7 linked regions of the Oryza sativa Japonica Group genome follow. The main gene of each other region encodes a partner of the protein of the gene in region 3 in a complex. Links are inferred from orthologs where the notes say so. Each region holds a gene or a part of one and is shown on either strand. Other genes may lie near its edges.

Region 1 (3,313 bases), about 22 Mb from region 3:
CTATTATAGATCACCAACCATGCAAAATCTTGCTCTTTCATGGGGCCCATGGCTTCCAAATGAGGGTATCAAATTCTGACTTTGTTGTGCCTAGGAGTTGCGCTTTGTAGGCTGATGCCACCATATACTCACCATGGTTGGTTAGCTTCCAAGTGGTCGTGTCTTCCTCGCCCTCTACGAGATGCACTTCTTGGACTGCATTCCAGACAGTGACGAGCTGACTGATTAGTTTGGTCATCCTAGTTGCAATCGCCGATAGGTTGATGTCGAGTAGCCATTGGCCAGATTTGGTGGCCTACTGTAGAGTTCTGTTTTTCTTCCAGAAAGTCGCTTAGACCAGAGGGGCCAACTTCCTTAAGCCTTCTCCCTTGCAACCAAGCAAAGTCCCAGAATTTCGCTTTTGTACCATCTCCAACTGTCGTCGTCGTTCCCACAAAGAGGAGTTTGCCAATGTTGTCGCAAGGCGTCTCCGACCCCACTCAAAGCTTTCTTAGATAAACAATGTAGCAATCAGTGGCGCTTGGCGAGCCCATGGTTCAATTTTTCGTTTTCAGTATTTGTATTGGGGTGCTGATATACCGAAATTTGGTCCAGAATTATTTGAATTTTCGAACAAAATTTGGTCAAATTTGAATAAATATTACTAAATTCACACAAAAGAATAAAAAAAACTTTGGTCGAACCGGAAATTTGAACCCTGCGAGCCAGCCTGCGAGACTTGTCGTAGATTCTGTAAATCTTCTCTGACACTGATACAACGATGGCTCGTGCATCATCCTCATCCTCCTCTCCGGCAGCATTGATGTCCATGTCGAAGCTACGCTCGGCTGGAGGATCTCTGCACGCTCCATAATCTTGATGGGTGTCCGCGAGCTGAAGGAGCAGAAGCTTCCATCCCCAATGGCGCACGAGAGCTGACGACCCGGATCAACCATTGGCAGCAGCTCCTGTACAGACACCTCCTCGTCCTCGATGCTGAAACTGCTCTACGCCGGCGACGGCGACGGCGACGGCGACGACGAGGAGGAGACATTCTTGATGCGGTACACGGCGGCGCCGGCGCGTGCTTCGGCTTGGAGTGGGAGACGAAGAGGTTGTCGCTAGCTGCTCTTCTCATCACCGATGGGCACCCGCTTGGCCGTCGAACGGGAGGTTCTTGTCGTCGGCGAGCTCCCCCACCTCTTGCTATCCACGTCGAACGCAGGATGTGGCGGCCGGCGGCGGCGTAGGACGCGACGGCGAGCGCGGCCGGGCGGAGGGGACGCCGCCGATGCGGATTGTCGCCGCCACCCGCGGCGGCGGCGGAGGCGGCGAGAGGAGAAAAAGAAAATCAAAATCAAAATTTCTCTCCACCTATGACATGTGGGCCAACTGCCAAGCAGCCTTACTTGACGGAGATTAAATCTGGCCGTTGATTCTCCATCGGACGGCGGAGCGCTCACAGCAGCACAGGCTTATCTCCTCCCTCCGGGCTGATGGGTGGATAGGCTGACGACGGGCCAAGAAGCCGAATCCCACACTGCCCGTGGCCATGGCGCTGCTCCTCTCCCCGACCGTCTCCTTCCTCGCCTCCTCCTCCGCCTCCCCGCCTCGCGCCAGAGCTCTCCCCGCCTCCGCCAATGTCGCCTCCACCATCCCCGGTAACCTCCGTGAACGCCTTCTCCGTACCGGGACTTTTGCGCATAAGTTACTCGGGTTGTGGGGTGTTGGTTCTTGGATTGGATTATGCTGAGTGGGTACGAGGCTATCCATTGTTGTGAGGTGTGATTTGTAATTCGGTGGGAGGATTGGTCTAGATATTTGACGTTGGTGATTCGTGGCGTTTCTGATTCTCTGGGATGCGGTTGGCTCGTTAGGGAATTTCTTCAAACACGTCGTGTGCAGATGCAGTAATTCGTGGGAGATTCCGTGCATTTATCATCTCTGTACAAAGCTAGGTATAATTCATCTCAGTGAACTCTGCAGATTCTCGAAGCTTTGGTTCTTTCGTGCTTAAATGATAATATCAGATGCTATGTAAGCACCGGTCACTGGCAAAGGGTGACATTCGTAGTACACCCTACATTTGGGGCCTGATTGTTAATAGATGAGTAGATTTTACATATCTGTGCTCTGCTAAGATTCATCATAATATGTAATTGAGAACACTAGGATTGTTACTAGTTATTGTACTATATACTATCCATGAAGTGGCACACATGAGCTAGACTTATTAGCTTTCAAGTTTCTTATATGACGGAGATTCTATCAAAATTTTGAAAGTAGCATGCATGTACTCTGAATTCTATATCTAAAATGATGCACATTGAGGCTTGCCATTTGTCCTTTCTGATGCTACAGCCCCAAGGCTCCAGTGCAAGAATCTCTCCTCGCAGAGCCCTCTGAATGCTTCTTTCACCAAGAAGAGGCTAGTTTCTGTCCATGCCTCGGCAGAGGCTGGCGCAGAAGAAGCTGGCACAGATCAACCAGAGGAGCCAAAACCCACGGTTTCGATTGAGACAATGCCGCTCGAAACTAAGCAGAAGATGATCATGGAGCAGAGGGCGAAGATGAAGCTGGCCAAGAAGCTGAGGCAGCGGCGCAGGAGGCTTGTCCAGAAGAGGCGGCTGAGGAAGAAAGGTAGATGGCCACCATCCAAGATGAAGAAGCTCAAGAACGTCTAACCAGCAGTGATGTCGGTCGCTGTTCTTCTGTACACCTCTATGTTCTGTTCATCCGTCTCTGTATTTCCTAAGCTGATGCCCAGCGAATTTTGCTGTTCAAAATATGAAACACAATGTTTGCAAAATGTGATTATTTCTTTCCCGATGAAATTTCATCTTGTATTTTTTAGATAATGGATAAACCGGTCACCGTTAAAAACACACAAAGCCCAGTACTGAACAAATTTTCTTCTAACATGTCCCTCCTTTTTCTCCTTTAGGCTTTAGCTGTCCTACAGAAGTACCACTAAATCTAATGTGTGTTCCCATAGTGGAAATATCATATGCACCTTGATGCCTTCTGTGTTTGTCAAAAACTCAAAATCATAGCAAATTTCAAGAAGCCTTGCTGTGCTGCACTCTATATTTGTGAGGTATTTGCCTGTATATACACTTCCATGATGTGTTTTGTTAGGGCCTCTCACAACTCTTTCGTCTGACCTGATGTTGATTAAAGCACAAAGGATCAACCTGGACAAGGAAATAACTGGAGCAAATTCGGGTTTGTTTGTTGTTTGCCACTTTGTCAGGCACGATGTGAACAATCTGAAGAGTGCCATTTTCGATTTTTTTTCTGATGCCCTTCCTGTTGATGTGGTTGTAAAATTTAT
Region 2 (3,607 bases), on a different chromosome or scaffold from region 3:
CTCTCTACATCTCAAGTTAAGATCTGTTGAAGAGATCAGAATAACAAGTTTTGGCTGAAGGGCCAAGCCACCTGGGCTTGCTTATGAAACTGATGATGGATCTAGGATGGCTCCCTAGCTCTGTGCAGAGATACCTGCAGCATACTCTAAAGCTAGAGTAGAAGGGGAAAGCCCAACATGCTTTAGGACAGTCTAACAGAGCTAGTTTAAGCATAAATCAGTGTTGAACAATAACATAAATCTAGGTGACCGACACAACAAGCCACAAGAACGTGGGCTTGGAGACAGTTGTACAGTTTTGAAACGTTTGATAAAACAGTGAACTTGAGTTTGGAGCAAAGCAGGGCACCAAAATTCCAAGCGAACTATTATAGACATGGCCTAATTCTCTTGTTTTTGTTACTCCGTATTCCAGAGACACTTCTTTAGAACTCTGCATATCTGCCTCTTATAGTATGTACGTACCCACAACTTTGTGACAGGTGAATTTGAATAGGCAGTTTGAGTTTCAACAAGTGTATAGCATACACTCGTTAAGCACAGTTTCATATATCAGTAATATAAGTGCATATATGGACAACACATTTTGAATAAACTGAAATTTACACAAATGGAATTGGTAATAGAACTTTTGGTTTTGACAGCAAGGACTTGGAAATCAGTTAATGTGAATTACATATCAATCCATTATAAGGAATGAAACCACAGGGAGAAAGAAACCTTCCTTCAAGACATGCATGAAATGACTTCTACAGACTGTCTGCTTTTGTGGCTCTCTATTCCTCCTTGTTCTCCCTTAGAGATGGTGGTGGTCTAACCACGATGCTTTGCTTCCATTTCCTGTCAAGCTTCCTAGACAATCTCTTGTTGATTCCTTGTTCAATTTCCCGTTCTCTTTTGACAGTCAGCATACGAGCAATCTGATGCGAAGATGACAACCCAAGTCAATGCTAAATTTAGATAGTAGAAAGCTGCTATTGAAGCAAGATGAGCAGGGTGAGAAAAACAACAGGAAAAAAAAATCTGATATCCTCCTCCTAAAAGGCAAGAAGCATTGATCGAGGCAGATATAAGTATGCATTACTCTGCTGCTAACTATTTGTCCTGTGCTGTCCCTGAGCAGAGGTGGAGACCTGAACTCCAAAGCAAGTGATAATTCATAACAATTGACTTATCAGAAGCCCTCAAGAAGAACAAGGTATCACATAACTGACCGTAGAATTAGTTCTTGTGTACTATCTGCATTTTGACGTCCTCAGAACAAAGTTTTGTTCCATTTTAAATTTTGGTCCACTGAAGGTTAATTTAACACTACTTTCCCAAGAACAGTATAAAAGCTCTTCAGATACACATTGCATTGCAATATCATTCTTCATGTAGTACTCTATGCACTAAAATCCAATAAACAATACTACAAACCCAAAGTAGATACTATGTAAGAATACGTAAATGGATGTCAGCATGACTTTCTAATCAAATTAAGTAAAAAAAAATTGCTTCTGAGACTGAAATTGTCCAAGCATTAACCCAAATCATCTGTAAATTCAGTATGGGCCAATATGCAACTGATAAAAATCAGGCAAAATTCCACCAACAAATTGGTAAGTTATTCCACTATTCTGAACCTGAAATCAACTCAATATATCTGAACATAATCAACTCAGTACTAGAGGTTGAACAAAAGGGCCTTGTAAACAGAACACACTGAGCAGAACATGCGACCACTCCACACCCATTTGGAAGTAGAAGGTGGAATTTCCACTCGTAGGTTGAACGCATTTTGGCCAGGAGTAAATGCTAAACTTTCGCAATGGAATTAGCAGTTGTGGTATATCTGTACCCCATGGAGTAAGAGACATACCCTCTTGCGCATGCGGCCGAACTCGCTGGATTTGAACTCCTGGCGCGCGGAGCGCTTGAGGCGGAGCATGAAGAGCTCCCCCTTCAGGTCCACCACTTCCTCCTCGATCTTCTCCGTCGGCATGGCCCGAATCTCCTCCAGCTCCTGCTCCCTCTTCGCCATCCTGGCCACGGCCGCGTCGCCCCTCCCCGCTGGCAGCCGCGGCGGCGCCGCCGCCGCCGCCAGTCCCGGGAACGGCGCCAGCGACGCCCCTCCGGTCAGGAGGCCGAGGAAGGCCGTGCGGGGAGTGGAGACGGCGAGCCCACGGGGAGTCGAGGCGAGGGGGGACGCCGCGGCGAGGGACATCGTCGCCATCTTTTGCGCTGCGCTCGCGTCTGCGCTCTCTGCCGGTCGGGGTTCGTGGATAAGGGGGTTTATCTGGTCATGTTGATTAGCCACTCGGGGCACGAATCTTCAAGCATTATCGGACGGCTTTCACTTGCTTAATATGCATGTCACATCTCTAAATATCGAAATCTACGCGGATTCGCGTGCAAATAACCCCTCCACGTGGCGCTGCACGATTCCAGCTTTCGTCTCCCTCTCGCAGCCGTCAGATCACAGATCAACGGTGTGGAATAGCTGCGGTGGACCTCGTTGTAATATGTGAGGTTTTAGGGGTCTTTTTGAAAAAGTTATACCAAACCTGCAATGCCCTTCTCTCCGCCGGCGCCCCCGCCCCCGCTTCCTCCGCCTCATTCGTCGGAGGTCGACTTGTCCTCCTACGCCGATGTCGCCGCCTCTTCCTCCTCCCCGCGCTCCAGCTCCACCTCCGCCCCTCCGACGCCCTAGGCTGACCCTCCCACGCGCCAGCGCGCCGTTCTGTGCCGTCTTTCCCCTCAAGTTCGGCGGCGGTGGCATAGATCCACCTCGTCGCTGGATGGGGCGATGAGTTCGGTTGCCGTGCTTGGGGATGGGGAGGAGGAAATCACATGCATCGCTACGTCCGTCTTCGCTTCTGCCTTTTGATTCGCCGACCGCCTCTCTCCCCAAGTCGCGGCACCAAGGGGATCTCGGACGGAGGCCACTGGCCGTGCAACAAAGGGCGTGGCTGAGGACCGTGCTACCGCCGCCGGATGCCGTCATGCAGGAGCGGGAGCTCCCTCCCCTGCTTCCCTACGGGTTCACAGTTTCACACCACAGCTGATTAATTCCACCTGTAATTAAGAAAAAAGAAGGAATTTCTTTTGTTGTTTTCGTTGATTTTTGCGTGTTACACGATGCTACTGAATAATGCTCAGATTGGCACCAAGGAATGAATGAGTTGCCAAAAATTAACTGTCACATTGTAACATGTTTTGTCTTTGTCTGAAATCTGAAGAGTTGGCCTTTCTTGACTTACAGTACGAGGGTGGTGCAGCTGAGGGTAGCAGAAGACCAAGCATCTGGAACACCTTCACACATCAGCACCAAGGCATGTTAACTACATCTCTGTTCACCTTTGCCTGCTTAAGCTGTGCTCTGTACAGAATTATGTTAATCAAGTTCAATTAAGTGTATTTGTATATCTACAAGTATAAAATTTGTCCTATTTAGCAACCAGAAACACTTCAACGATGTAAAGCAGAAATTAACAAGCTGAATACACAATGACAGAAAGGTATGCAGAATCAAGAAGCATATGGATTGTGCATCAAGTCTGACTGTTGCACTCCTTTTTTGAGAGAGAGAGATTTGATCTTTCACTGTGAGCGTAAATGCGTAATG
Region 3 (4,260 bases):
ATTTATCTCACGATTTACTGACGGATTCTGTAATTAGTTTTTTTTATTAGTAACCGAACACCCTATGCGACACTCTATATAATATCCGATGTGATACGTCGAAACTTTACACCTCTGGATCTAAACAACCCCGTAGATGAAAATTTGATACCACCTAATATAAATCTGGATAACCTCCTAATCATTATTTTTAGGTGGTATCAGATCTTCATCTAAATTGGCTTTTTTTTTACAGAATGAGTACATGGTACAATAGGTGTTACTTGAGCACACGATTGGTACTGTCAACTTTTTCGTTATATGGAAGATAAACACGGACGTGCAATTAATTAACAGATCTACATCAACTATTAAGAGAATTTAGAAACACCTGATGCCCATTGAAAAAAGAGAACACTTTTGCCCCCAAACAATGACACATCAAGCTCATCTCAGGTCAAAATTGCACTACTCAATTGGATATGGAAATATCGGATTGCTTAAAATCGTACGGTATTAGGTACATGATATGTAATCAACAAGAACTATGACTTAGAAACACAAACTTTTGGAGGAAGTAAATTACAAAAAATTTTACACTCCATTCCCCAAACAGACAGATGCATCACATTCCAAAGATTGGACAAAATCTCGAGGGGAGGAATTTACGTGAGATTGTTGTGTCTTTCTTAGTCTCCACAGGAATTATCTACTTCTCAGACTTCTGTATTCTTTTATCCTTGATAGGCAGTGGAACAGGTTTTTGAGCCTCATGGGGATGTTCTGCTCCCTTGTACACCTTGAGGTGGGTAAACAGTCTTCTTCCCAGCTGCAAAATGTTCAAAATGTTGAGAAGGCTACATAGAGCACGTACAACCGCTGTAGTTGGTCGGATTACATGTGTCAGTGTCACTAACATATGAGAACTTGAGAGGTTGACATAGTAAACGTTTTTTTTTTTTATAAATGAACTTAGGCATAAGTAAAAGGCTTTAGGCAATCATAAGATGTCTTACAGGCAACATAGGAGTTTTGGGAGAATACATCTAGTACTTCGTTAGCCCACGCCGTTTCGGCATTCAATTAGAGCGAATATTTCCATGAACAGGGTATATAAAGTTGGGGAATTATACACAATAATGAAGTATAATGGAACAGAACGAGGATACCCATTTTCAGATATGTATTAGAAATTGACCAAAAATAAGGATAAGAGCATATGTATACCCAGGTAGGCTGACTTAAGGTCAAAAAGACTTGATGAAACTGACTAGATAAGAGCTCTAAGAGATGATGTCTTACTCTGCCCTTAGGAAGCATGCCACGCACTGCATGTTCAATAATTCTCTCCGGAATCCTTTTCTGAAGCTGATCAAAAGTTTCTTCTTTCATTCCACCAGGCCGTCCAGAGTGCCTCCTGTAGAGCTTCTGTGACCGCTTTTTGCCAGAAACAGCAACCTTCTCTGCATTAACCTATGTGAACATAGAGTTCAGCATGGTAGTTCAGGAACTTACAATAGTATATGCGTAGCAATTACTCTTCAGAGATGCATTAGTATTAAAAGCACACAGTAACATAAATATATATACATGAAATCAGCTTCAAAATGCCTTCAGGTGGACCTCAGCTTCCAGATACCTTTTGGTGCTTATTTGTATGTGCTGCTAAACCTCTTTTCCTTTTGTGGGACTACAGAGGATCTTATTGTGTGCACTATTTAACTTTATAAATTAATTTCAAGAAACATACATACCACAACAACAAAAGCCCCCATGTCCACACTTGGAGTGTATGTGGCCTCATTCTTTCCTCTGATGTGTACTGCAATGGTGGATGCAAGCCTACCTAGAATCTTGTCTGTTGCATCAACAACATACCATGTCTTCTCAGTAGTTACATGATCTGCAGCCTTAGGGTACCATGTTGTGTTCCATATGTCCTGCAAATTAAATTCCTTGGTCCGATCACTACACAGAACAGGTTGCACAGAAAAGAGAGAAAGAACACAAGAATGGTATCCGTACTGAATTCTAACTTCACAAACCTAAACATCCACAGATAAAAAGATATGGTAGTCATGTAGGTGCGAACACTGTTGAGTAATACAACACAATGTTAGCGACCAATTCAGAAAGACCAACGTTCCCTCCATGTTATTTTCAGTTCATTTTATGGAATCCTCTTTCGTAATAAATTACAACTAGATAACTTTAAATAAAATAAGATGGTGGTCTATACGGTATAGTAACATGTAAAAACATTGTGTATTTTCCCTAACATTATTCATGTAAAGAAAGGATTTGACCCAATAGAGCAAGATGAAGTGACTTACGGATTTAGAAATGAATGGGACTAATCTTGAGCTTTCCTAAATAAGCGGCAATCCTAAATCACGGTAAAATTTCCCTTTATCCAAGGAATGTAGCATTACTATTCATTTTCTGAACTGAGAAAGAGAAGAATGTATACGGGAGAGAGAAAGAGAGGTGAGGGTTAGTACGGGGCCGCAGAGCTCGTCGCCTTCGAACATGAATCGCTGCTCGCGGGGGACGAGCGCGGAGAGCGGCTGCCTCTTCTGCTTCTCGCTCTGCTCGCACCGCACCGACAGGCCCCCCGCGGCGGCGCGGCGGGTCGCGGGCCTCGCCGCGCGCCGCTGGCGGGGGAGCGGCCTGTCCCTGGCGAAGGCGGAGGAGAGGAACGCGGAGGCTGCGATGGCCGTAGCCATTGCGACGGCGGCGCGGTGAGGAGGACGCGGCTGCGGCGAAGTCTTGTCCGTCTGGCTTGGCCTGGTTCAGTGGAACGCCACTGCCATTTCGTTTCGGGGAGGCGAGGTGGAGAGAGCAGAGCGGATAAGAAGGGGATAGGGGGGGAGAGGGAGCCAGAAGGGGAAGAGGAAGAGATGGGCCTTTTGCTTAGCTGGGCTTTGCAGCCCACAGATGCATCAAAGCTAGAGAAACGCGTAGAAATTCCGATATGTTAAATGGGATAATTGCTTATTTAACCCTATTTTAAAGGCCAACTACTAAATTGATCTTATTTTTTTAGGTTTGTTTATTTGACCCTGTTATTTGAAATTGAAGTTTCCATTTGACCTGTTTTGCTTTCACCGGTAGAACATCACTTAGAAAAAAGAAAAAAAAAATACTACCCTAAAGTGACCAAAATACCCCCGTGTTACAAATTAACCCTAGGATTCCCATTCCATTCCCCAGCTCTTCGTCCCAATCCCCACCTCGCCGGTGACGGGGAGAGCTGCCGCCGACCGGGCTGGAGGGAGAGGCGGCGGCGGCGTTGGCGGCGCATCGAGGGAGCGGTGGCGGCGGCCGCGCGAGGAGGGAGAGGGAGCGGCGGCGGCGGCGGCGGCGTTGGCCGCGCGTAGAGGGAGCGGTAGCGGCGGCCGCGCGAGGAGGGAGAGGGAGCGGCGGCGGTGGCGGCGTTGGCCGCGCGTAGAGGGAGAGGGAGTGGCGGCCGCGCGAGGAAGGAGAGGGAGCGGCGGCGGCGTTGGCCGCGCGAGGAGGGAGAGGGAGTGGCGGCCGCGCGAGGAAGGAGAGGGAGCGGCGAGCGGCGGCGGCGGCCGCGCGAGGAGGGAAGGAGTAGCGGCGTCGGCGCGCAGGAGGAGGGAGCGGCGGCGGCGGCGGCTGCCGTGCTCGAAGCGGAGAGATTGAGCGGCGGCGGGGCTGCTGCCGCACGGAGGGTGGAGGAGGGGCAGCAGCGCCGGCTGTTGCCGCGCGGAGGGGCGGCGCCGCCGGCTGCCGTCGTGCGTCGTGTGGAACGAGAGACGGAGGATAACTTGTGGTTGGATTTGTTGATGGATTTGGATACGAATTTATTGTTGGATTTGGATCTGATTTGCTGTTGGACAATATGCTTTGCTGTTGGACAATATGCTGTCAAATTTGTGTAAAATTCTGTTAAATTGAAGACAAATCTGTCTCAGATCTGTAAAAGCCATGAAAATCATTGCAAATATTTAAAAAGTCCCGATGAAGAAAAAACTTTGATATAATATGGTAAATGAGCAGGGGCAAAACGGACAATTTCCCTCTTAGTTAACACCGTTATCTACCCTTCACAAAATAGGGTCATCTCTGATCTTCAATTTTAAAAAGCATGGTCAAATGAGCAAACCTAGAAAAGTAAGGTCAAATTGATAGTTAGACATCAAAATAGGGTCAAATGAGTAATTGCCCCATGTTAAATTGTCCACACACACAAGCAAGTCAGCACTACAGGTGATATAGGATCATATACCCAAAATTAGGCTATGTTTCTGGCGACAA
Region 4 (2,607 bases), about 6.0 Mb from region 3:
GGCTTAGCGCTCCCCTCCATCTTTCACCGGCGGCGTGGGGTCTGTGACCGCCACTCCCCTCCAACGCATGGGTTGGGCTCGGCGCTTCCCTCCACCTTCCACCAGCGATGCAGGGTTCATGACCGTCACTCCCCTCCAGCTCCACCTCCCTTCATTGGGTATTAAGCTTGCAATCGTCACCGGATTGGCAACGCCCTCATCGAAGAAGCTCTCTCCGTGCAGTCGTCGACGAGCCTGAGAACCGCCAGATTTTCGCCTGAGTTGAAGAAGAAACTGATCTGCGTTGTGCGGTGTTGAGCTAACAGAGGTATTGACAGTTGTTGTAACGGAGTGGCATAGCTCAAATTTTGCAAAATTTCAGTGGCATGAACCTGATATCGTGAATAGTAATGGCAAATTGGTAAACTTGCAATAACATGATCCAATTAACCCATATCTTTGGGGAGGCTAATGCGCACGTACGTGCTAGCAATTTAGCTGGCGCCCGCGTCAGTTGGCCCCCTCCCCTGTTCCCGCGTGCTTTTCTTTCTCACTTTTTTTTTACGATTTTGGCGCCTGGATCCGGGTGCGTTTTTCTTTTTTTTCGCCATTTCTTTCTATTTTTTTAATCTTTCGCACACCCCTTTACAAATGTAGAGTTGAAAGTTTTAAATTTTGACTTCAAAGTTTTTAAATTTGACTTGAAAGTTTTCAAATCTGAGTTGAAAGTTTTAAATTTGAGTTGAATTTTTTCAATTTGAGATGAAAAGTTGAAAGTTTTCAAAATTTGACTTTAAAAAAAATTCAAATTTCGAGTTGAAAGTTTTCAAATATGGGTTGAAAGTTTTCAGAATTTGACTTGATGTATAAATTTCTTTTCAATCTGTTACTTTAAAAAATTTTCGGAAAAAACAAATCTTATCTTGATTATCTAAAACTAATGTATTTTTTTACACGCTAAAACTAATGGACTAGTTACTACATGCGCTATGGAAAGAATCTAACCGCGCCCGTGCGGTGCCGTGCATACGCGTGGGCCAGAAGTGCGCGCCCGCGGCGCGTATGCGAGAATTAGGAATTCTGCATATTTTTACCACGTAAACGAAATAATTGCATACATTTTTTTTTCTGGGCCAGTAAGTAACCAACGTGTATCAGCCCAAACCAAACAACAATTAAGAAAGCCCAGCCAAAGCGAGGCAGGCGAGCGGCCACCCGCACGGCACCAAAGCCTCAAAAATTGAGAATCATCAACGCTTGAGAGGATAACACACACCAGAAACCGATAAGGGACACGAAACAGGGGAATCCGGAGCAAAGTGCGACGCGAGCGCGCGAGGAAGCAGCAGCCATGGCGCTCTCCCTCTCCACCTCCTTCCTCCCGACCCAAGCCGCCGCGGCGGCCACGAGGACCACCCTCCGCTCCCTCGTCCCCTCCCAGGTACGATTCCTTCGATGCCCCCACAACCGCGTAGGCGTAGCGCCGCCGAATCGGAGATTCGGAGGAGGTGATTGGAACTGGGCGGTGGTGTGACGATTTGCCGTGCAGAGGATGCGGTGCTCGATGCGGAAGAAGGGGCTGCACCCGGAGATCTACGAGGACGCGAAGGTGTACTGCAACGGGGAGCTGGTGCTGGTGACGGGGGGAACCAAGCCGGAGTACACGGTGGACGTGTGGTCGGGGAACCACCCCTACTACGTCGGCGACACGTCGGCGATGGTCGTCATGGACAGCCAGATCGAGAAGTTCCGCAAGAAGTGGGGCCACATCAAGGAGTACTGGCCCGAGGACCAGTGGAGGGAGATGCACCCCGACGGCGACCCGGAGTTCGACCCGGAGGAGGAGGGATCCGCCGGCGCCAGCTGAGCCCCCGCTTCGCCTCTCGCCTCCGCCGCCGGCCTCGCCGGTGCGGTTTCTCTTGGTTGATTTTGGGAATTGCGTAAAATGGATTAGCTCCTCTTGCTTGCGCCTCTCGTTACACGTGCATTCGCATTGCTCTCTAGGTGTTCGATCGGTGTTCTCAGTGGATACGTGTGATCATATTTGTGGTATCGAACTGTTTGTTCTCTGCCTGTACTCTTTGACATCGATATAAAATGGAGATATTGCAATTTGCACACTCTGTAATTGGACATTTCCAACTCGTTGAATCGATGCATGCTAGTGTTGGTCTGGGCTCTCGAATAGAATCGTTGCATACATCAGTTTGTCCGGTCTTCAGAATAAGCAGTAAGGGGCTGTTAGTTCACGTACTAACATTGCTAAGGTTTACCATGTTTTCTCGCTAAAGTTGAGGCCATCAAAATCCAAGCCACGCTCTAGCCAATAAAGGCTATGTTTAGTTCCCAAAAACTTTTCGCAAAAACATCACATCGAATCTTTGGACACATATACGAAGCATTAAATATAGATAAAAAAAATTAATTACACAGTTTACATGTAAATCGCGAGACGAATCTTTTGAGTCTAATTAGTCTATGATTAGCCATAAGTGCTACGGTAACCCACATGTGCTAATGACGGCTTGATTAGGCTCAAAAGATTCGTCTCGTGGTTTCCAGTAACCCACATGTGCTAATGATGGCTTAATTAGGCTCAAAAGATTCGTCTCGTGGTTTCTAGGCGAG
Region 5 (4,011 bases), on a different chromosome or scaffold from region 3:
CAGAGGTTGCGCGTGTGTGGAGCTGCCGGGTTGCTCCACGTCTACAACTCAACACCTTTTTCTCGTCTCTACATTTTTAGAGAGAAAAAAAACAACCTTCTAATTTTGTAGGGGTTCATTATTCATTTAGGCTCTTATTAAATATCAATAGCTAAAAAGGGGAATAAAACAATCCATCAATTTCAGCTATCTCAAACCAGACAGGCCATAGCAGTAGAACAATCAATATTGGCGTAGGAGTTCCTTTTGTACAAAACAAACAGCTTTTCAATTTTGTACAAGTTAATTCTTTCATTTAGGCTCTTATTAAATATCAATAGCCAAAAAGGAAATAAAATAATTAATCAATTTCAGCTTAGACTGGAAGACACTCTAAAGTGAAAAGCGCAAGATGCCAACTGCACGACCTGATGCTGCTCAAGTTACATCCATCCATCTTATAATTCGTAACCAACATACAGTATTAATTAGGAACTCGACCGAAATGAAACACTAGTAGCAAACAATTCGAGCCGGACTTGCAGCAGCAACACGGGATAAAAGGAAATTTAAGGAAACGAAGCCGGCCACCACCACCGATGAATGCATACTGTAGTACTCTACAATAAATTGCATCATCGAGATGAATGGATTTAATAATGGACTACATACAGCTCTGGTCTATTCAGCACAGCGGCAATTGATGAGAGAATACATGTATGTATGCATCATGATGATGATGATTTGATTTATTTCTTGTTGAGGTCGATGCCGGCCTTTTTGGCGACGGCGTCGAGGCCATGCTTCTCGATGGTCTTGAGGGCTTTGGTGGAGAGACGCAGCTTGACGAAGCGCTTGCCTTCCTCCCACCACAGCTTCTTGTACTGCAGGTTCACAAACTGCTGCTTCTTCGTCTTGTGGTTTGAGAAGGACACCTTGTTCGCCCTGTTGGTCTTCTTGTCCGTGAAGGGGCATATCCGGCCTGAGTCACCCACCCCCACATCATACAACAACATCACCATACACGCCATCTTGTTCCTACTACTACTAGTTTCTATAATTTGTGGCATCATGCAAACAAAAGATAAAGTATAATCTCACCCTTTTAAATTACTTGTCCTTAACTTTATCATAAGCCAAACATTTAATATCATAATATTTATGTGTTTATATATGCATCATGAAAAGTACCTTCATAATATATAGTACAATTAACATGTTGTTAAACTTTACAAATTTCTAGAAATTGATAAGTCACAATTATCTTTTTAAATAAGAAATTGATAGTTAAAGTTATGAATGGTTGACTTAGAATAAAACTAAAACTATAACTTGAAATGGCCAGAATAGTTATATTTTTTCTTTTCCCCCTTCTTTCTTATATACACTAGTAAGAAGAAGAAGCTCTGCTTATGTCTTAGAGAAACAAAGAGATGGTTGTCAGACATAAACAAGCAACCATTTCAAATATATTCTAAACAACCCTGTTAAATTTCACTTGGCGCAAGGATATTATTGGCCTTAAGTTAGTGGCGTGGAATCATCTCTTTCCACGCATTGCTAATATAGTGTTGTCACACGAGAAAGATGACTTTAAATTGAATCTAACACCTGATGGAAGATTCTTGGTTAAAACTCATTATCTTGCACATACAAGAGTTCCCAATTTTAACAAACATATCTAGAAGTTAAAAATCCCTCTCAAAGTGAAAATGTTTCTATCGTATTTATGTCGAGGGGTGGTGTTAACAAAAGATAACCTGGCTAAACGGAATTGAAAAGGGAATAAGACCTATTGTTTTTACCACAAGGAAGAAACGATAAAGCATTTATTTTTTGAATGTCGGCTAGCCCGATCAGTTTGGTCTTTAATCCAGATTGCATCGAACATTTCTTCACCTAGGAGTGTGTCACATATGTCTGGACAATGGAGTTTGCGACAAAACAAAGAGTCTAGGCCTCCTTTTCTACTAGGAGTTGACTTGTTGGGCTATTTGGCTATAAAGGAATGATGTGATTTTTGACAGGAAAATTGTTTCTTCTTCTTTGCAGGTTATTTTCTTGATCACACATTGGCTCCGATCATGGATTATTCTCAAGAAGCCAGATTACAGGGGTTTTGTCTGTTCGGCTTGTCTTCATTTGGAGCATGTGGTCAAGGTTTTTTTTTTTTACCCAGGCACATGAGCGGCAACCTAGTCTTCCGATATTAGGTCCTTAATCGTTGAGTTAGTTCTGTTTTTCTTGTTGTGTGGTATCTATTGGTTGTGCACTGACATGGTGCAAAGAACGACCAAATTCAATAAAGCTTCCATTCTCTTAAAAATACAAAGAAAGATCTGAGTTTATGGTAATAGATTGACAGCTAGTCTATTTTCGAGAGATTAAAGCAATCAATTACTAACAAATAGGTCATCTGGTTCTAGTAGTAGTATATATACAGTGGAGTATTGGATAGCGCAAAAAAAAAACGAAGGATAAAGTAACAACTTTAATAGTAGCAGAAATGACATTGGTGGTGTAATATAAAACTGTAATGTCAATCTGCGGGTGGATGGCTCGAAACAGAGAGAAGAAGGAGGAGGCAGATGACGTACGCGCGAGGATGGGGTGGAGCTTGGGACCGGCGGCGGAGGGCGCGGTGGTGGCTGCGGCGGAGAGGCCGAGGCTGAGGCCGGCGAGTTGCGAGGTGGCGAAGCCGAGAGAGGAAGAGGAGGAGGAAGTGCGAAGGAGCGGAGCCCTGGTGGCGGGCGTGAAGGAGCAGAGCATGGTCGCCATCGCCACTGGAGCCTGGAGGAAGAAGAAGAAGAAGAAGAGGATCAAGTCTTGTGCGGCTGCGGCGTGGCGTACAACTTGTTTCTCCTATCCTATCATAATCGTCTCTCTATGTACTGTGTGAGCAGGGGCCCATATATCGTAGTACTGTAGAAAAGGGCGGCCCAAGCCCAACTCTCATTACTACTAGTATTACTCACAGTGATAAGTCCACTTATTATCCCTTATTTTACGTCGAGTTTAATGGTATCTCTAAACCGCAATACCAGCAATCTTCACCCCCTCCCCCCCATTTTGGAAAAACCTTCCAAGTCAGTCTCATGGTATTATGGATGACTGGTTTCACTAACGTGGCATACCAATCAGAAAATTAAAATTTAAAGTGGACTTCCTCCCAACCTGTCCCCTCTCTTCCCCATCTCTCCACCTCCCCCCTCTCTTTCCCATCTCCTCCAGTGGGGAGAGGGGCGGCGGCCAGCGAGCCCATCCACGGGAGGTGGTAATGGTGGTGGGAGGTCAGTGATGAGGTGGCTCCAGTGGTCCACGACGGGGGAGAAGAGGAGGTAGGTGAGGGAGCCGGCGAGTTCGAGCTCATGAGCTATCTGCAGGAAAGCCCAGTCGTGTCAGGAGTGTGAGGAGCCGCGGGGATGGGAAGGGGGTGCTGCGGTGGTGGCGGCAAAACTTGAGCTCAAGCGGTAGTGATGAAGATGAGTACGCATGCGGAGGGTGACGTTGTTGATGGAGGTGTTGGGGAAGAAGCAAGTGAACTAGAGGGACAATGTCGTGTCGCACACCACCAACTCCCACACATTCTCGCGAGCATCCAAGATGGGGACAGTAGCAAAAGTCTGGCTCCCACTTCCAGATCCCCTTCGCATCAACCTCCATTCCAGATAGCACACTTCTACCCACTGGTCCACCTCCTCCTCTTCCTCATACTCCTCCACATCGCTCTTGGGCTCCTCCTCGTTGATGGCTTTTGAAGTGGAGACAGTGGAGCTCTCGGAGGAGACAGACCGGCATGCTCGCGACGACATCGCAACACCGGGTCGAGGTCGAGCCGGCCCCTACTTCTCTTTTCCGTCTTCAAGAACAGCCTCCTTGACTTCCGCCCACCCATCCCTCGCCGAAGGAGCTATCAAAGAGGTCACCCGAGAAGATGTGGAGTTGATTCTCTCCTCCTTGATGGCCAGGAAGACAGGAAGAGGACCCTCTCGCAGGCGGTGTGGAGGATTGTTGTCTGTCCTACCAGTGTTG
Region 6 (4,199 bases), on a different chromosome or scaffold from region 3:
CTAACTTTTTCCACCCTCACCCACAAACAAATCTAACCCAAATAGTTTATGTACTAACAGGATGACTAATTAGCTCAGCTTTGCCCGCGGCACACACTTTTGGCATATAAAGTCCGTGTCAAAGTTTCAGATGAAAAGTTTCTGGATGGAAGTTTCCAAACGAAGGTTTTTTCAGATGAAAGTTTTCATTAAAAAATGTGTTGAAATCCCTATGTTTGGGCCTAATAATACAGCGACCAAGCGGCCCAACCTACGACCACCAGACTGCCTACGTGCCATTTTGGCCCACCCAACCCAAATATTGTAGTAGCTCTATCAAACTATATGACTATAAAGAACGTGCACCTTTAAACAAGATTACAAGACAAGTATCAGTTGCTCTAGACTCTGAACCCTTTGTTGTTTACATCATGCCCATTTAACCCCATAACATTAACACAAATAAATTTGTCAAAAAAAAAAAGGTGCAAGAAACTGACTTTACAGGTAGGATGGACAGTGGCAATGTGTAAAGACCAAGCCCCGTGATGTGACACTGCACCTTGGAGTTTCAGCAAAAATCTCTGCAAGTAAATCATTGCATGAATTCAGCTGCTAACACAATTGACGAAATGTATATGACAGCTTAAGAACGGAGCAAAAGGTAAGGAACAATGGAATGCCTTGCAGATGAGCTTACCTGGTGAAATCAGAATTCATCCAAAGCCCACCATCCACTAAAGATTCAATCAAGCAGCTTCAGGGCTTATTTCGCATATACGGTCAGCCTTACTTGAGCTGTGACTTCAGGGTGAAGCTTAATCTCTGCAATGTATTCCCCAATTTCACGAATTTCTGGCACTGTCACGAGACGCTTGTCGACATCCCTACATGAAATAGTTTCCGGTAAGCAAAGCAACAGCAGCAAATAGAGCATCGCAATCCTTCCTTAAAAGGTAGTGATTGTCAGTGCACTTAGAAGGGCATACCTATTAAGTTGTGACTTTATGATGTCAACAAGATCTTGTGCTGTGACGCTGTAGAATAGAAGAAAAACTTGTTATTAAGTGCAAGTAAAATAAGACGATACATAAAGAACTATCTACTCGATAAAAACTTGCCTCCCAAATATCTGTTTTCCTTTCCCACCTTTACGTGGCACTTTGAATGCCCCAATAGTTTCAAAAACACGGGCAAGTTGCTGTGCCTCTTCTTTTACCTACTCAAGCACAAATGCTCAACAGGGTAAGATTATGCTAACACTGGATGAAAGTTCTTATACTCTTATGGAAAATGATATTGGTAGGAACAAATCATGCTTTAGACTTTTTACAAAATAAGCTAAACCACAACTACGTACCCTGGAGAACAAGGATTAGTAGGGTATAACTACCACAGTAGTTTTTAGACAGACAGGAACAAATAGGAATAAGTTTCAACTATATCAATTCTTACTGAGTCCACAAATAGAATAATAGGTTTACTTACCCGCTTCTTTTCAGCATCTATCCTCTCCTGTTCTACTTGCATTTCCCTGTAGACAGCAGCAGAGGAAATTAAGTAGCTTACTAGCCATCCTTTTACAAGAACTAATTGAACATGTTGAACACCCCAGAAGAACTGAACTAGAAATGCAGAATAGGCATCTATAAAAGTTTGCAGATTTATATGTCAATCCTGGGCTCCACAAGGAGGCAAGAGATACAATGGCTAACACAACAGAATAAATAGCTGCAAATTTACACCTGCAGCATACTGTGAAAACCAACTACGATGAAACATAAGCATACGTCAATTAATTTACTAGGAGCACCTATCTGTTGGTTGAAACATAGCCTATACAATTCGTGAGATGTGGTAAATGACTGTAAGACAGAAGATTACTTGAGTACTTCTGGGGTGAGCAGCGTTGCCTTGCCCTTTGGCAGAAGGAAGTTGCGGTAGAACCCGGCCCTCACTTTAAGCGTGTCCCCTTTCTTCCCCACCTCTGCTATGTCATCTGTCAGTATGACCTGGGAGAAAAAGAAACTCAAGTGAAGTAAATCAAATACGGAATCGTGCATTACATGCTAAAGTATAGAAATGCATAATAGACAAGGAAGATGATGACATAGGCTTGGAACATTTTACAGTTTACAGGTGCAAATTTTGAACTGGGTGTATCTAGATGCCTTTTAGTTGCAACTTTCCCTACAAACAAACAGCATGGCCAAACCAACAATTCCGGCGTTCCGGGGCATATACAGAATCATATTAGAGATGACTTTTGCATCTGAGTTGCAATGCTAAGAGGCACCTAATTAAAAACATGACGATAGTTTCTTCCATTTCCATGTACTGCATCAGAGCATGCGTCCATGGCAATGTATCTTTTCCTATACTCAGATGTGTGAATGCACACAGTAATCTTAAGCTTACAGCTGCTGCATTTCGAATTTTTCGATCGATGGAATGCAGTCGCATGCGCTTTGTAATCTACTGTACTGATTAGTGGACAGGGTGGTGACAGACAGTACATTGGGTATGGCTAGTTCTAAAAGAGGCAAAACAAAAGCATCACCAGCAACAGCTTGTTCAATCAGTCAGTACTAGTACTGCTTAGCTCGAACGAATCGCAATTAAATACATACATACATACATGCTGCAACTGTGGAGAGAAAATACAAGTGGAAGCCAAACCTGGCGATACTTCTTGACCTTGCCCTGGGCGACGACGACCAGCGACGGGGAGCGGCGCGGCGGGAGGCGGGAGGAGGGGGCGGAGGAGGAGGCGGCGGAGCTCCAGGCGAGCGTGGAGGCCATGGCGTTGGGGATGGATTGCGGGGGAAGGGAAGGAACTGCGGCTGCTGCTCTCTTATCCACTTCCCCAACGGATTTGGTGCCCTCTCTCTTGGGCTTTGCGCTGCTTTGGGCCTTTCAAATCGGCCCAGTATCAAAGGTTTTCTTCGGGGTTGTCATGGGCTTGAAGATTAAGGGTCATTTTGGTTTGGCGCTCCTTCTTGCCTTACTAATTCTTTGATAACTTAAAGGTCAAAAATAAATTATTTGGTAACTTTGAATAGTTAACACGTAACTATTTGAATTAGAGTCAAATTTTGCTAAATCAATAAGGTGAAGCCAAATAGACAATAACAAAAATTTAGTAATACCAAAATTTACTCAAGATTTGGCATTGCCAATATTTTGGCATGGTTTCATACCAAACAAGTCGTAATAATAATCCACCAAATTGTAACCCCCTTCCACTCAACGTATAGAGAAAGGTAGGAGATATATATGTACGTGATACCTCGACGATATTACTAAGATAGATAGATAGTACATGTGATGCCAAGATGTTATAACATACATTAAGAGAAACACTCAGGGGTCTTCCGGCTAGCTCCACAAGGTGATAGCCTAAATGACCTGGATTCGTAACCTCACCCCTTCTAATTATTTGATATTAGGTCCTTCACTAATATTCATGTTATAACATAAATCGAGAAATATATTATTATAACACTATTTTGGTGCTATCTTGAAACTCAACGATACATCACTAGCTACCATTACGTATAAACGTGTATTAATAGTATAAGCAAATATCAACGAGTATCATCAAGTATCAATGTGCAAGAACGAGTATTAGCAAATACTCCGTATCTTCATGAATAATATCAAAGAGTATAATCAAGTATCATTGTTTAATTATCAACGAGTATCATCAAAATATCATCCTCGTATATCATACTCCAGTATCATCTTGTTGTACTTTTTCTGACAAAGATCTCCAGCTGGTGACCTGTTTCTCGAAAGGAACAAAAATTAAAAAAAAACCTAGCAAATCGTTCTTAAAAAGAATGGCGATTATATATCTTATTGAATTAGTATGTCTACTGCTCAACGAGATGAGAAAACCGAAGAGAAGAGGGGTATATAATCGAGTATATGTCATCGTCGTCGTCATGTCATGCAGCCGTCCATGACTTCGTCCTTCCCGCCATCGGAGAAACCAAACAAGCGGACTCCACGAAGCTAGCTAAGCTAGCTAGCGCGCCAAAACTTTAAAAATCCTCACACCCTCTTCCACCTTCGCTTCATCTCCAATCCAATTCTCCATCGATCGTTACACCCAAAGATCGAGATACCAATACCATGGAGGAAATCTTGGAATCCGAGTACTCGGCCGCCGCCGCCGCCGGCGACGCGGCGTCCTTCGTGCTCTCCCGCTTGCCCCA
Region 7 (4,108 bases), on a different chromosome or scaffold from region 3:
GCACAATATAGCCCAGTTCATTACCTAAAGGGCTAGATTTTTCACAAATGCTCCCACTCCTGTCCTTCAGTTAACCGTTATAAATGATGGTTGTTCCTAACAGTCAAGTAGCCTACTTTACCTGTTTTCTCTATTTTGCAGATTTGTTGTGATGCTTTACATAACTGTTACGGAGGCACTATGCAGGCTAAGTAGCAGATTACCATCATCATCAGTCATTACACGATCATTTGCTCTATGGCTGATAAGCCGTGGAAAAATGACGAAGCAACCAAAAATAACTTTTGAGTAAAACGTCTATATCTATGTTCTTAGCGATTCAAAAGCCAGCACTGGAGAATAAAGCACAATAAAAAAAACCCCTCAAAATCAATTCTAAATTAAGTTTCAAAATCCAGATTTTGGCTGCCGTTGATAAGCCAACAAACGAACGATGGAGCTATGCATCCATGCATATCCTCAAATTCAGTTGGCACAAACAAAATTTCAAACCTTCTATCTACGAATAACAAGGTTAAAAAAATGTCTATCAACATGTCTGAAAATCGAACCACTGAAATATATTGCACACACAATGAAGACTACTAAACAAGGTAGCAATATATCAGTAGGTTTTCTCCCAGAAGTGCATCTATGAGGTAAGTACTGAGATGACGTAAATGGACAACTTCTTTGAACAAAAGGGCAGGAGTTCTGCCTATTGCATTGAACGAGGATAAAACAGAAGTTCACCAAGGATCAAAGAAGGTAAATGGACAGTTACCCACCTTTCACTCAGGGTCACAATAACCAAGCAAATGGGAGAGAAAACCACAAGCAACAGTGTCAATACATATAGTAATCTGTAGAATTTCCATTGTACCTGAGTTATGTTTGGAGAAACAGTCCCAGCTTTGGGGTTAGGCATAAGTCCTCTCGGTCCTAGAATCTTTCCCAATCCGGCGACCTGTGAAGCAAAAGACCAAAATCAACAACATAATATGCCGAGCTAGTAGCACACCTTTAAAACTTCCATGCAGGTCTTGCATGGAGCTCAACACTTATTGCAGAACTGCATCCAAACTTCCGAAGAATGTACCAATTCAAAACAGTAGAACCTTATTTGCTTATCGAATCTATTTTCTCTGAGTGAACCAAATTTGCATATCTCCATTATGGCTCAAATCATAATCGTAAATGCTAGACACTTGTAATATGAAGGGATGGATCAGATATGGCAGGTAATGATAAGAAAACAATATCTGATCAATACAACTAAATGTTGCCTGGTTTTGTGGTTCCTAATAACACTGAAACATAACGTGTTCATTTGGATGTGGGATAAACTATGTCGGAGACATGCAAAAAGACAAGTCTTCATAATGCTTGGAATTGTTTTAGACATGAGTTATGCAGCTAATGCCATACCTTAGGCATCATATCAGGTGATGCAATCAGCTTGTCAAATTCCATAAATCCTCCTTTTATTTGGTCAATCAGGTCATCTCCACCGACAATATCAGCTCCTGCAGCTCTTGCTTGATCTATCTTCTCACCTGCAAGGATATTTGACAATAGCCATTACATAGTGCTAGTGATTAGTGCACCACTTTAGTGACTAGCGCGCATTCACATACTTCCATTTCAATTCACTATATAACAGCGTGCTTCCAATTTAATGAACCGTAAATAACCACATGATCAAGCAGGCAAACCACACCTAAAAGACACAACTAGCAGTGACCTAATCAATCCATGCACCAAAGATTGCAATTGGAATTGGTGCTGCGATAACAATCTCCAAAATGTAATTGCAACCCACCTTGTGTGAGGACCGCAATCTTCACCGACTGGCCCGTCCCCTTGGGCAAATTAACCTGCACATCATCACCAAAACCGATCCAATATCATCAAAAACGATTGATAAAACACAAGCCAGAACAGAACGTACGTAACAATGGCAACAGCAGAGAGAAAGAGCAATAACCGTGGCGCGGAGCTGCTGGTCGTTGTACTTGGGGTCGAGGTTCATGCGGAAGTGCGCCTCAGCGGACTCGACGAATCGGGCGCTGGCCATCTGCTTCACCAGCGAGATGGCCGTGGGCACGTCGTGCTCCTTCTTGCTCTCCCTCAGCTTCTGTATCTCCAGGAATCGCTTCGACCTCGTCTGCAAACCCATCAAAAAAAAGGCGAACGCGGCGTCAGCGTCAATCCAAAAATCAACACGAATGGATGAACACGCGGGGGGGAGGCTGGATTCGGGGGGGGCATACGCGGTCGCGCTTGAGCGGAAGGGCGGCCTTGCCGGTGCGCGGGCGGGTGGGGGGCGTGAACGCGGGGCCGCGTCCGCCCTCGTACCCGTCGTCGTAGTCGTCGTCGTCGTACTGCTCCTGCCCCTCGTCCTGCTGCTCCCCCTGCTCCTCCTCGAGCACGGCGCCCTGCGGGTCTGCGACGGCGGCGACGGCGGGGCGGCGGAACGCGAGGAGCAGGCGCGGGTAGTAGGCGCGCAGCGACGGGACGGGGGTGGGGAACAGCGCGGTGGACGAGGAGGAGCAGCACTGCGCCGCCGCGGCGCCGGTGGTGGCGGGGGCGGGGGCGAGGAGGGAGGAGGCGGTGGCGGAGAGGGAAGCGGCTGTGGCCATGGTGGTGGTGGTGGTGGTGGGGAGGGGGGAGGAGATAAGCCGAGGTGGAGGATAGAAAGGGGAGGAAAAGGCGAAGTGGCAGCGCGAGAGTGTTATAATAGCCGGTGAGGCGAGGGCGAGGCGAGCGGGCGAAGCGCGCAGCGGATAGGGCTCTCTCTCGCTCGCGCGTCGCGGGGGACGGGGGAGGACTCGTGCGATTTGGGCTATTTTGGATTAGCCGAGCCGTGTGTGCCCGCGCGCGCGGGGGAGACGGTTGGGGGAGGGTGGTGCGCTGCGGCGCCGCGGGCGTCGGATTGGGCCCAAAAGCTCACGATTTCGCCGTTACTGGGTACGGTCCAAAAGAACCACCGATAATGTAGTGCTATTTACTTTTTAAAAATACTACGAACCATTACCCATAATCTGTTAGTTGCGAGAGTATCAGAAATGTCTGGCCGTACCATCAGAGTACCTACACTCTCTATCCCAAAAGATACAACTTCTAAGAGTGTTCACAGTAGAAGGATGTGACGTTCAGCCCCATAGCCAAGAACTGAATATTCGGCGCCGCATTGACAGTACGCGGAGCCAAATAAGGTTCTCGTACCCAAACATGGATACTCGTTCTTCAAACGAAGAAAGCAGGGAGAAAGGTGAGTTGTCGTGTTGTGGAGGGCGGAGCCTCACACGAGTGGCTTCGCGCAGCGTCGACAGCGAGCGCATTGTCGCCACAGCCACGGGGAGAGAGAGAGAGGAAGGCGCCATCGACGAAGAGGCTGCGACCGCCACCGTATCCAATGATGAGGATGGGAGCTCGCCGTCCGGCACCGTCGCAGCTCGGGCTGCCCTGACAGCCGCCGCCGCTCAGCCCCAGCGCCTCGGATGCCCTGGTGAGAAAAGAAATAGAGTGAGAGATTGGGGGATGAAAGATTTCGGATGAGAAAAGAAACAGAGGAGAGAGAGAGATTGAGAGATGAAAATTGAAAAAACTGTACCGGTGGGACCCACTACTAGTACTTGCATTGTAGAGGATGAAGCTTAACAGGTTCTTCGTCTACGTGGCATATGAGGAACGGCAAAAATATGTAGCGCACTGTGAATGTCCTAAGAATGTTGTCCGGATTCATTCCTAGAAATTGATTTTTTATGGGACGAAGGAAATAGGAACCAATACGAGAGTCTGATAATGTGGTATTAATGGATATCGTGTCTGGTAGTACCAGATCCAGTGCACATACAAATATGATACCTACGATCCTGTGCTGATGTTAGCACCATAAGGTATTCTGTTGTAACAGTATAGTGTTATGTAGTAGTTCTTTTTTTTTTGTCACATGCAAACTTTACAAGATCTCTTTTAGAAAGAATATTGGAAGAAATTGGACTGAATGTCTTAATCTTATGCAATTCATGGGTTCTGAGAGCATCAACAATGCGTGTCTCCAGGGCGTCCCCCCACCCGACGCCGTCTCCTTCCGTTTGAAAAAGCAAACGAGGTGTTCTCTCGC

The links.
Region 1: large ribosomal subunit protein uL13c (region 3) and large ribosomal subunit protein cL37 share a complex: the UniProt entries of both Arabidopsis thaliana proteins name them as parts of the 50S ribosomal subunit. The link is inferred for Oryza sativa Japonica Group from reciprocal best matches to the Arabidopsis thaliana genes emb1473 and PSRP5.
Region 2: large ribosomal subunit protein uL13c (region 3) and large ribosomal subunit protein uL29c share a complex: the UniProt entries of both Arabidopsis thaliana proteins name them as parts of the 50S ribosomal subunit. The link is inferred for Oryza sativa Japonica Group from reciprocal best matches to the Arabidopsis thaliana genes emb1473 and AT5G65220.
Region 4: large ribosomal subunit protein uL13c (region 3) and uncharacterized protein share a complex: the UniProt entries of both Arabidopsis thaliana proteins name them as parts of the 50S ribosomal subunit. The link is inferred for Oryza sativa Japonica Group from reciprocal best matches to the Arabidopsis thaliana genes emb1473 and emb2184.
Region 5: large ribosomal subunit protein uL13c (region 3) and large ribosomal subunit protein bL28c share a complex: the UniProt entries of both Arabidopsis thaliana proteins name them as parts of the 50S ribosomal subunit. The link is inferred for Oryza sativa Japonica Group from reciprocal best matches to the Arabidopsis thaliana genes emb1473 and PRPL28.
Region 6: large ribosomal subunit protein uL13c (region 3) and large ribosomal subunit protein bL9c share a complex: the UniProt entries of both Arabidopsis thaliana proteins name them as parts of the 50S ribosomal subunit. The link is inferred for Oryza sativa Japonica Group from reciprocal best matches to the Arabidopsis thaliana genes emb1473 and RPL9.
Region 7: large ribosomal subunit protein uL13c (region 3) and large ribosomal subunit protein uL1c share a complex: the UniProt entries of both Arabidopsis thaliana proteins name them as parts of the 50S ribosomal subunit. The link is inferred for Oryza sativa Japonica Group from reciprocal best matches to the Arabidopsis thaliana genes emb1473 and EMB3126.

What each region holds. Positions count from the first base shown.
Region 1 is NC_089035.1:9,870,984-9,874,296, forward strand, and holds large ribosomal subunit protein cL37, read left to right. Parts: upstream 1-1,485; 5' UTR 1,486-1,531; coding exon 1,532-1,640; intron 1,641-2,340; coding exon 2,341-2,663; 3' UTR 2,664-2,813; downstream 2,814-3,313.
Region 2 is NC_089036.1:32,213,695-32,217,301, reverse strand, and holds large ribosomal subunit protein uL29c, read right to left. Parts: upstream 2,247-3,607; 5' UTR 2,216-2,246; coding exon 1,862-2,215; intron 921-1,861; coding exon 777-920; 3' UTR 501-776; downstream 1-500.
Region 3 is NC_089035.1:31,965,685-31,969,944, reverse strand, and holds large ribosomal subunit protein uL13c, read right to left. Parts: upstream 2,801-4,260; 5' UTR 2,706-2,800; coding exon 2,481-2,705; intron 1,920-2,480; coding exon 1,734-1,919; intron 1,453-1,733; coding exon 1,282-1,452; intron 809-1,281; coding exon 689-808; 3' UTR 456-688; downstream 1-455.
Region 4 is NC_089035.1:25,929,496-25,932,102, reverse strand, and holds uncharacterized protein, read left to right. Parts: upstream 1-1,246; 5' UTR 1,247-1,330; coding exon 1,331-1,420; intron 1,421-1,528; coding exon 1,529-1,846; 3' UTR 1,847-2,107; downstream 2,108-2,607. UniProt on the Arabidopsis thaliana protein: Binds the 23S rRNA.
Region 5 is NC_089039.1:104,682-108,692, forward strand, and holds large ribosomal subunit protein bL28c, read right to left. Parts: upstream 2,801-4,011; 5' UTR 2,758-2,800; coding exon 2,577-2,757; intron 962-2,576; coding exon 729-961; 3' UTR 412-728; downstream 1-411.
Region 6 is NC_089036.1:35,818,859-35,823,057, forward strand, and holds large ribosomal subunit protein bL9c, read right to left. Parts: upstream 2,801-4,199; 5' UTR 2,782-2,800; coding exon 2,659-2,781; intron 1,992-2,658; coding exon 1,864-1,991; intron 1,514-1,863; coding exon 1,468-1,513; intron 1,199-1,467; coding exon 1,101-1,198; intron 1,017-1,100; coding exon 969-1,016; intron 867-968; coding exon 746-866; 3' UTR 680-745; intron 564-679; 3' UTR 326-563; downstream 1-325. Other genes in the region: 4-coumarate--CoA ligase-like 3, read left to right, coding at 4,117-4,199. UniProt on the Arabidopsis thaliana protein: Binds to the 23S rRNA.
Region 7 is NC_089039.1:18,889,670-18,893,777, reverse strand, and holds the start of large ribosomal subunit protein uL1c, read right to left. Parts: upstream 2,801-4,108; 5' UTR 2,622-2,800; coding exon 2,253-2,621; intron 2,147-2,252; coding exon 1,967-2,146; intron 1,857-1,966; coding exon 1,802-1,856; intron 1,536-1,801; coding exon 1,408-1,535; intron 947-1,407; coding exon 863-946; intron 1-862. UniProt on the Arabidopsis thaliana protein: This protein binds directly to 23S ribosomal RNA.